Linked DNA regions of Schizosaccharomyces pombe. Changing the gene in region 1 together with any one later gene gives a genetic interaction. Each region holds a gene or a part of one and is shown on either strand. Other genes may lie near its edges.

Region 1 (5,184 bases):
AATTTCCAGTTTGCAAAAAATTAGACAGGTTACAACAACAGAAAAAAAAAACATATAATAAAAATCCTCGTAATTTAGGACATAAGTAGGAATTTCACAGTATTTCCCAAACACTGTTATATCTAAGTCCTTTAATCAATTTGTTGCCTCAAATGAAGAATCCAGCTCCAAAATCGAGGACTGTGTCAAAGAAATCAATTATTAGAAATGAAAAGTAGATCCTAAAGACTTGAAGGGAAAAAGGGACAGTAAGGAAATTCACTGTTTGTCTACTAACAATATAAACCTAAGAAATCAATGAAAGAAATTCATGCAACAGAAACAAAGGTTTTGTTAGAAAGTTTTTAAGTAGTATTATTTCAGCCACAATATGGAATTTATAAATTTTCGTTTAATTTTTTGATTATGGTTGGTTCGCACTAGACGTAAGGGCTGAGCTTGAATAGCCTCAACTTCGCCTTACTGAGCTGCCTGAATATCAACGTACAAATGTGGCAGCTTAGCAAGGATAACAGTTTACACTAACATTTTTTATTTTCTTCATAACCATTTGCTTTGTTTTATATTCGAAATAAATTATTGATAATAAGGATGTAACAAAACTTCATACATTAAAAATTGGTGTTCATTTCAACCTTAATGTTTGAAACAAACGTTAAATTGATATCGAAAAGCACGTAAGCGTTTTTGCAATGTTTAAACATATTTGATTGTAAACAGGCTTAAGAAATAGCACATTTTTTCCAATCATTCACAAGCAGTAGATCCTAATACTTAATGAATTGAACATTTTTGAATAATAATCTAGGAAAGAATCGCAAACGCAAAGCAATTATAAACTCAAACAGAACTAATTATGGGTAGAATAAACACAAAAAAAAGAGAGTAAACTGTAGCTAAAAATATAATAAATTTTGTTATCAATGGACAATTATGAGGATTTCAGGTAATGTCGGATTTGTATGGTAAAAAAATTAAATTCCTCAATTATGATTAGAGACCTTCATGTTAACCGCTAACATCAAACTAATATTAATAAAATAGAATGAAGTAGCAATAAAATGATGGAAAAATTAAATTAACAAGGAACTTAGAAAGAACAGGCGAGAAAATAACATATGATACCTTCAAAGACTTAATCCTCGGAAATAGTAGCATACTATTACACAAGACTTATATTAACACGTGCTAAAGACCGCATTGGAAGAAGCACACTGGAGTCTTTCAAAAATTACATCCTTTAACATTTTTGGAGATGAACTATCTTTGGACAACAGGGTAATATAATTTAACGGCAGAAGTGCTTCAGCATTTGACGAAAAAGACCGACCGGGTGTCGCTTGTAATAATTGGCTTCCTGGATAAGGAGGGAAAGTTTGTGAACATGAAGGGTGCAAAATACTCCCATAATCTCGTTTAATTGGTAAACCAAATTCTGCTTCTTCAGAATTCGCAGACGTTGGCTCATTTACTTCGATACGAACAACATCCTCAACAACATATAAATTAGGGAGCTCAAGTAAATCATAAATATTCATGAGGGGATTCTTTAAAACTTCAACAATATTGTAGGCTTGCCCTTTTACAAGTGAAAGTTGCCGCGAAAACATTTTCTCATCGAAATCTAAATCTTGATTGAATACGTTTCGTAAATCATCACTTAGTTTTTCCCACCATTCTCGGCTAGTCAACTTGTGTAAAAAGAGTTGCCTGGTAAACTCTGTAAAAGGTTGCGTAAATAAGGAGCGTGGTAAAGAGAGCCAACCATAAGGAAAGGACCTCCAAGAATCCGGATGTTTATAAGGGAATGCTAACGAATTATCTATCGCTCCTATTTGAAAATGTGGTCCCTTCCAAAAATCCGACGTTTGGGAAATAGCAGGGTCTACCGAGTTCGCAGACATATTAGGTGTTAAATTCGTAGATAAAAGATTAATTGATTTATAATATTCTTCATTATCACAGGGTTCGTAACAAATCTTGATCATCCAGTTATCCAAATTACGATCTGTATTACGCATTAAATAATCGAGCAAAACAAGTTTTTCAAATTCAAACCGGAATTTAAGGCGTAATTCTTCGGTCCAAAATTCGGTCTCAATTTCGTTCTCAGCTAAGAAAGGATCGAAAATGTCGAAGTCCTCGCTGGAAGCTACAGACTCCGTGTACTCTCGGGTTTCTCTATGTCGAGTACCAGGCCAGGGATGTTGAGCAAAAAACTTGGATGCAACGACGAAACCATCAAGAAACTGCTGAAAAGATCCAGTCTTTTCAGGAAGAGGCTTATTCCTTGTCAGAAAAGCTTTTCGTGCAAAATAATCATAATTGAAGGTTGGAGAAGAAATTGATGCAACAGACGTGTATGGAACTAAATACAAACCCAGACCTCTATCTAGAACACAAGCAGCGGCTTCTGAAAGATACGAAGTATTCGGAATTAGACAACTTCTCCCAAAAAAGCAAGGAAATAAATTTCGATGGAACCATTTCGTCCATTTAGGATTTAGCTTTCCATACGGTTCTTCATCTTTGGGTTTAAATACAGCTATATTTTTTTGGACTTTATTTTTCACAAAATAAGATCCAGAGGACCCCTTGGAAATAAGGACCGGGAAAACGCCGTGGGCGATTGCTTCCTTTGTAGCATCAAGGAGTCGAACGTAGTCTTTATAATCATATCCAGCGTAATGGGGGTATTCCTCCCAATGCTTTTCTGCATGCAAAACCCAAGAAGGAGCCATGAACACTGAATAGTAAACTCGGGGTTTTGAGATTGATTCAGACTTTCGTCTTCTTGCTTGCAAAGACTTGCTTAATTTGTTAGCCCATTGACCAAATTTTGACTGGGTAACTAGCCCTTTTAAGCTTCCAAAGACTTCATTTCCCTCATTTTCGTCTGGAAGAAGAAGACTCGACGAAGACGAACTGTTTGACGAAGCCCATCCATCCCTTAACGATTCTAAGGGATTGGTCTGTTCCTCATTAGTGTTTAAACTATTTTCCTGATAATTTGGAAAAGAATCGAGAGTATCTGAATGGAATGTCGATTCCATAACGCCCTGTGCAAGTACAGCACAAAAGCAAGAATCAACGAAACTCGGCTTTTTTAAAATAAAACTCTAGAATGACCGAAACGGAAAAGTGATACTATGATATTAATGAGCGTGTCAAATCACTGCTAACGTATCTCTTTCCCTAAATTGCCTAGCAAAGTCTCTGTTTTTACACTTGGAACATGGTTAGCACTTGAATCAACTGCTCATAATCTTTGCTGCAATGAGTAACGTAATGTAGCACACTGTGGGTTTAGTACGTTAAGCAGTATATATATATTATATATACAATGTTTAAATACTTGAATCGATTAGATACTGTAAATTATAAACAAACATTACTGTATATTTGAAATTCAGAAAAAACTCTTTCAGGAAACTCCCTTGAATATACTAAGATTTTTAGCTGAAGAATATTTTAATTTGCAGTAAATAAATAAATTCAACATGAAATTGAACATTACGAGAATTCCTAGTATCCCAAATAATACTCATCTAAATAGTGTATTGAAAAGATTGAATCCAGATTTGTTTTTTGTAGAAGGTTTTAGGGTAAGAAAAGCTCTAATTAATTTCCCTTGTACGAAAAATGATGAATCAATATAGAAAGAAAAGCAATTGTTTTTGTGTGATAGCCTCGAAGACGGGAATAAATAATTGAAAAAAGGGGAAATAATCGTCAATAATGAATAAATCTTTTCATTGAGGATAATAGAGCACCTTAGTTCTTATAAGCATTACAAAAACTCGTATCCTTTAAAACCATTACTGGTTATTAAAGCAAAACAAAACGTTCCAAAAAATCGCCAGCGTATTACTTAACCGCCAAATATCCTCTATGGATAACACTTAGTATCCAATCGATAAATTATAAATATAAAGGAAATATAAATTTTTTGGTTATACGCTTTCTACAATGTTGCACCGGACAAGGCACAGTCTTCTTGCGTAACTCTTTTGCACAAGTAGAACAAAATAAGTGTCCACACTTTGCAGCAAAAATGGATTTTTTCTCATCACTTACTAACTCATTTCCACATTTTGCGCATGCAATATTATTATGAGGATGGACATCATAACAAAACCCAGGTGGAGGAGATACCCTTTCGGCGATAGAATTTGATGAATCCTGAGCTTTTTTTCTTGAATTTCGAAACCCATTTTCAAGAAGGGTTCTCCGTTGGGTTTGAGACCTGTTTCTAGTCCTTCGTGCACCATAGAATATCCCCCCTCCAACAGCCACGGGAGGTCGAGTGACTGGAGAAGGAATAGAATTAATAGTTGGAACATTAGAAAGATTAGCGTCAAGGTGGTTACGGCTTGTACGAATCCTTCGACGAGGCTGGAACTCTGGTATTCTCGTTAAATCTAGCAAAGTAACTTCTGAAACATCCGCACCGTCATCTTCTATATCTTCGGTTAGGTCAATAACCTCAGGGCTTAACCTCTGATCCCTTCCTGGTACTAGAAACGTGTAGACGTTAACATATATTCTATAAACCGAAATTTTCACTTACATTCTAGTCCATGCAGATTCATACAACACAAAGCATAAACCTTTATTAAATCCCAAAGCAATTATAATCTTATCAGTTTTTTTTAATGCAACTTGTAGGTAAAATCGATCAACCCCGTGAAATTCAAATGATTCGGCATCACTGTGTGTTGAAGAAAAAGAATATGCACACTGCTATAAATCTTTATTTTTAGAGCGGCAACGAAAATATGTACTCCTCGTAAGCTTCAATGTAATCTTCTTAGGAGATAAATCAATTAGCAAAGCCTAAATCGCTAACTTGGGTAGAATGAAGTACGTAGTGCTGCCACACCCCACAACTCAGTAATTGAAACTTCTCACCCTGCACTTTTCGTTACAAAATATTTTGAACAACTTGTTGTCAGTTAGTTAAATGGCTATTTGAAAAAAATAATAGGGAAACAATATATCAGCCTCTAAAATTTTACAATATCCAGATTTTCGTAAATGGATGGCACAAATAATACAATTCCCTTACAGTTTGGCAAGCAAGCACAAACATACGATATAAATGCGTTAATTGCAAGATTCATAAGACCGAAAGAAAGCTTTTTGATAAACAGTGTAGAAAAAGAATCCGAATCAAAACTCAAC
Region 2 (4,820 bases), on another chromosome or scaffold:
TCCTTTAAGCAACATGCGTAAGATCATTGCTTCTCGTCTTGCAGAAAGTAAAAACATGAACCCTCATTACTACGTTACGGTCTCGGTTAACATGGAAAAAATCATTCGCCTCCGTGCTGCCCTCAACGCCATGGCTGATGGACGCTATAAGCTTTCGGTTAACGACCTTGTTATCAAAGCTACTACTGCTGCTTTGAGGCAAGTTCCCGAAGTTAATGCGGCTTGGATGGGTGACTTTATTCGTCAATATAAGAACGTCGATATTTCTATGGCTGTTGCTACACCTTCTGGTTTAATCACTCCTGTAATTCGCAATACTCATGCACTCGGTCTTGCAGAAATTTCCACTTTAGCTAAGGATTATGGCCAACGTGCCCGTAACAACAAATTGAAGCCTGAGGAATATCAAGGAGGCACATTCACCATCTCTAATTTGGGTATGTTCCCTGTTGATCAATTCACTGCTATCATCAATCCTCCTCAAGCCTGTATCCTTGCTGTGGGAACCACTGTTGATACAGTTGTTCCTGATTCAACCTCTGAAAAGGGCTTTAAGGTTGCCCCCATAATGAAATGCACTCTTAGTTCCGATCATCGTGTTGTTGATGGTGCTATGGCTGCTCGATTTACCACCGCCCTAAAAAAGATCTTGGAAAATCCATTGGAGATTATGCTTTAAAATAAAGCAAAAGTCGGGTTGCTCATACTATCATGCAATTATTTTGTCAATAAAGGTGTTTACTCAGGTTATGTTTTCGGAGCTTTAACAGGAGCTTACGATCAATCGTTGTAGGTAGATTGAGCATTCTTTGTTTCTTGTATACATTTACTACTACAATTGGCTGTTTGAAAAAACGATTTTATTTACTAAGTGACTTTGTTCCGTTTCTGTCTTATAATACTTTGCTTGCTTTGCAAGCTTATAATTTTCCTTCCTATGTTTATTAAATATTACTTTTGTTTAGAATTAATAATACTTAAGTAATCTTGTTGATATCGTTAGTATTGACGGCAGGAAGCGCAATAATAGCTACGTTAAGTGCTGTTGGGTATGTAAATTATTGTTGTTTTATTCAATATATTTCAATAGATTGTTGCTTAGTAAGTGATAACCGACATCCCTTGTTTTAAACCAGTTCAAATGTTCGTTTGCAAATGGATATCTTTAATAATGTCTATTGGCATCAAAATCTGGCTTCTTAATTCATAAAAGAGATTTAAAGATATAGGGAATGTTTAAGTTTTAGAGAATATGAGCATGTTCGGTAAGAAAAACTTTCAGGAAAGGTAAGCAGGAATAAGGATATAAGGCATGTTCTATAACCTTTGATAAAGTCATTTAAATATTCGAAAGTTGTTTTCGCAGTAAACGCTTTATTTATGGCTCATGAGTCATTTCTCAATAACAAGATCATTTACATATGTCTGTAAACTCATTAATCTTCAGATCAGTTATTTTTGGTGGCGTGTTCCACTTAAGATAGCAGTTTGCACTAAATAATTAACTGAATTATACGGATCACTTTTCTATTTTTTGTGTTTAGAGGATACCGGTAGACACATTTACTCAAAATAAGCTTACACAAGCGACTCGTTTAAAGTTACCTTAATACGTCATTTTTAATACGTGAAGCTATATATTGATTTTGATCATCGTACTACTCAGAAGTATCCGTTAACCAACTAAAATTGCTGTCCATGTGATAGCCAGTTTTTTAGGTCCTATGTGGTTACTATTTCGTTCTAAGCATAAGAAGTTAGTCCTTCGATGTTTTCCTTCGGGGAAACTAGGAGAAACGGAACCGAATGGGTCACCTCTAGCATACCTAAGTTATTATGCTGCATCCAATTCGAGTAAACTGAGAAAAGTGGCTCATTTTTTAGGGAGTCGTGTTCGTCATAGCTATTATCATAAACGTGATAAGTAAGTTCCTGTTTTAGGCTCTATTTCTAAATGTTTTTAGTGAGGTTATTATCGGATTGAAAATATGCAAAACATTGGTTCAAAAATGTCGGGATAACATCAACGTGATGGCCTCCGAAGTTGTAAATATGCTCCTTGTTGCTAGTTCGTCAAAAAATTTAGAAGTTTTGTCTGCCTGCGTTGATTGTTTTGCTACGTTTTGCGATAATAGTGGAAAGGGGAGTCCTGCCACTTTTGGCAACGAATTCCATTCTGCTTTTAATAACTTAGTCAATTCATTTTTTGAATTATCAAAAGGTATTGATTGTGTTGATCCTCAGCAGTCGAAAATGCTTGGCCTGAAAGCATTCCATGCTTTAACCGCATGCAAGTTTGCTGGAACTGAAGGCGGAATGCGTTATCAACCTCATTTTGCTATACATTGCGTTTTGATTAATTCTTGGAGTGAATCAGATCAGGAGAAGAAGTCATTTATTGATTTGGTTCGTTCCACGGCTAAATCATATAAGCCATTGCCTCCTAGTAGTACTGGTGTTTCATTACCCGAGCATGATGAAGCGGGTGATAATATAGATGTTGCCATTAAGAAGTTATGTATTAGAATTTTGTTCAACATATATACTCAGACAGATCCTCTGTTTATGGCCGAAAGTACGAAGTCCTTGATACATTTTTTTGCAGCAAAATCCGACACTCCGGTAAATCTAGAATACATATCTGTCGTGCTTAACCAAATTTTGGATTGGACTCCTGTTGAACTTCGACATTCGATCTTTTTCTGTTGTCTTCGTTGTTTATCAAGTTCTCGTATTGTCAACTCTGAAACTAATGTGATGGTGCCATACATGATTTACTCCATTCTTAACTCGAAAAACTCAATTTCTGGCTTATCCGTTATTGACGTGTTACGTGATTTGGGGTCGCATCTTATCAACGCTGTCAATTCATTCGATGCTGATGACCAAACTTGGTATAATATGTGTGAATCTCCATCGGAAAAGCTCCCTAGGCGCCTTTATTTACTTTTGGTTTGTATCACCTGTTTAACTAAGCATCAATATTACGATGAAGAATTTGCTGATGTATGGCGAGAAATCGACACTCTTGCTAATTCTGAAACTTCTTCTGCTATACAAATGGTAGCTTTAACAGCTTTTCATAAGCTGCAAAATGAAAAGCTAAATACAAAAAAAGAATCCAGTGCTCCTCTCTCTTTAGTTACCGACTTTTTGTTGCATAGCTGGCCCAAATCCGCTGAACGTCTTCACACTTCCCAGTCACCTTTTGTACGAATAAAAACTGCTGAGGTGTTCTACGAATTTTTGTGCTTTCTCCGTCCATCTTTAATAAATTTCGATACTATTTTACGGAAAAGTGCAATCACATCATTTTCTGTATTATGGGATTTTATATATGAAACCAGTTGGCATATTGAACGTTGGCTCAAGGTGTTTTCGGTGCAGTCTGAATTTTATATTCTAAAACTCATCATCCAAAGGCTTTACCAGCTTTATGGTCCAGTTTCTGTAACAGCGGTATTACCTGCTATGTATCGCGGACTACGACCCTTTGAAAATGATCCTCCTCGCTGTATTGCCGAGGCGGTTACTGCTTATTATATCATCTATATTGGAGAGAATTTGAAGATCACAACTCTTCAGTCAAGTGGACGAAAGTGGCTTGATTCATTATCTAGCTCATTACCTTCGAGTCTCTTGAACAGAGGTTCTTCTACGCATTCTTGGGAGAAACTAACAAATGCCTCTACCGAGGAAGTCATGTTGCCTTTGGACATGGTTGTAAATGAATTATTGGAGAAAAGCCCGAAAGTATTCCCAGAGGACTCTAGACTACTATTTGCTGAGCAATCGCGACACCCCAAGTACACCGATATTATTCAAAAATTAAAGAAACCGTCTCGCGAAAAGTCTTTTACTTCTTCTTCAGAATATTCACTTCCATTTATATCACCGGCTTCGGATTACCAACAAAATCCTTTACTTCATGCTACCAAGTCGCTCGTTTCTATTCACCAGCAATCACAACGTGGAGAAATGGTTAGCACATTGAAACAGGCTCTATCAAGGCCACACACTGCTAGTACTGTCGTACGTTCTCCGTCGGAAATAAATCTTACAAGACAAACGAGCAACCGTGTACCTCTGCTTGATATGTTGAATCTTAATCGTGCTATGTCTCCGACACCTATTCAAAGTCCTCCATATGTACGCACTTAGTTCTACATATACATATTTTGCACTTAAAAAATGAAAAAAAGAATTATCGTTGCAAATCTATATTTAACCATGCAATTTAAATTTCAATTCCTAAGTTATAAGTAAATTTAATTACTGAGTAGTATACCAAATTATATTAATCAACAATATAACATTCACTAGCCTATCCTGATTACAACAACTCAAGATCTACTTAAATCCGAAGTAAAAAATGTTTACTTCTTGGCGCCAGCCTTAACAGCGGCCTTAGTGACCTTAGCGGCACCAGGGGCAACCTTCTCAACGGCCTTGATGACACCGACAGCGACGGTTTGACGCATGTCACGGACAGCGAAACGACCAAGAGGAGCGTAGTCAGTGAAAGCTTCAACACACATAGGCTTGGAAGGAACCATCTTAGCAATGCAAGCATCACCAGACTTGACAAACTTGGGGGACTCCTCAATCTTCTTACCGGAACGACGGTCAATCTTCTCAATGAGCTCAGCGAACTTGCAAGCAATGTGAGCAGTGTGGCAATCCAAAACAGGAGAGTAACCAGCAGAGATTTGACCGGGGTGGTTAAGAATGATGACTTGAGCGGTGAAGCTAGCACAACCCATGGGAGGATCGTTCTTGGAGTCACCACAGACGTTACCACGGCGAATATCCTTGACGGA

The links.
Region 2: of lsb6 (region 1) and efr3, changing one enhances a phenotype caused by changing the other (phenotypic enhancement), as found in Schizosaccharomyces pombe (one study listed by BioGRID).

What each region holds. Positions count from the first base shown.
Region 1 is NC_003424.3:1,679,822-1,685,005, reverse strand, and holds lsb6 (1-phosphatidylinositol 4-kinase Lsb6), read right to left. Parts: upstream 3,242-5,184; 5' UTR 3,054-3,241; coding exon 1,179-3,053; 3' UTR 539-1,178; downstream 1-538. Other genes in the region: SUMO-targeted ubiquitin-protein ligase subunit Rfp2, read right to left, coding at 3,922-4,517, 4,571-4,592; wdr70 (WD repeat-containing protein), read left to right, coding at 5,038-5,184.
Region 2 is NC_003421.2:263,721-268,540, forward strand, and holds efr3 (protein efr3), read left to right. Parts: upstream 1-1,667; 5' UTR 1,668-1,724; coding exon 1,725-1,924; intron 1,925-1,964; coding exon 1,965-4,161; 3' UTR 4,162-4,286; downstream 4,287-4,820. Other genes in the region: dihydrolipoamide S-acetyltransferase E2 Lat1, read left to right, coding at 1-679; tef101 (translation elongation factor EF-1 alpha Ef1a-a), read right to left, coding at 4,377-4,820.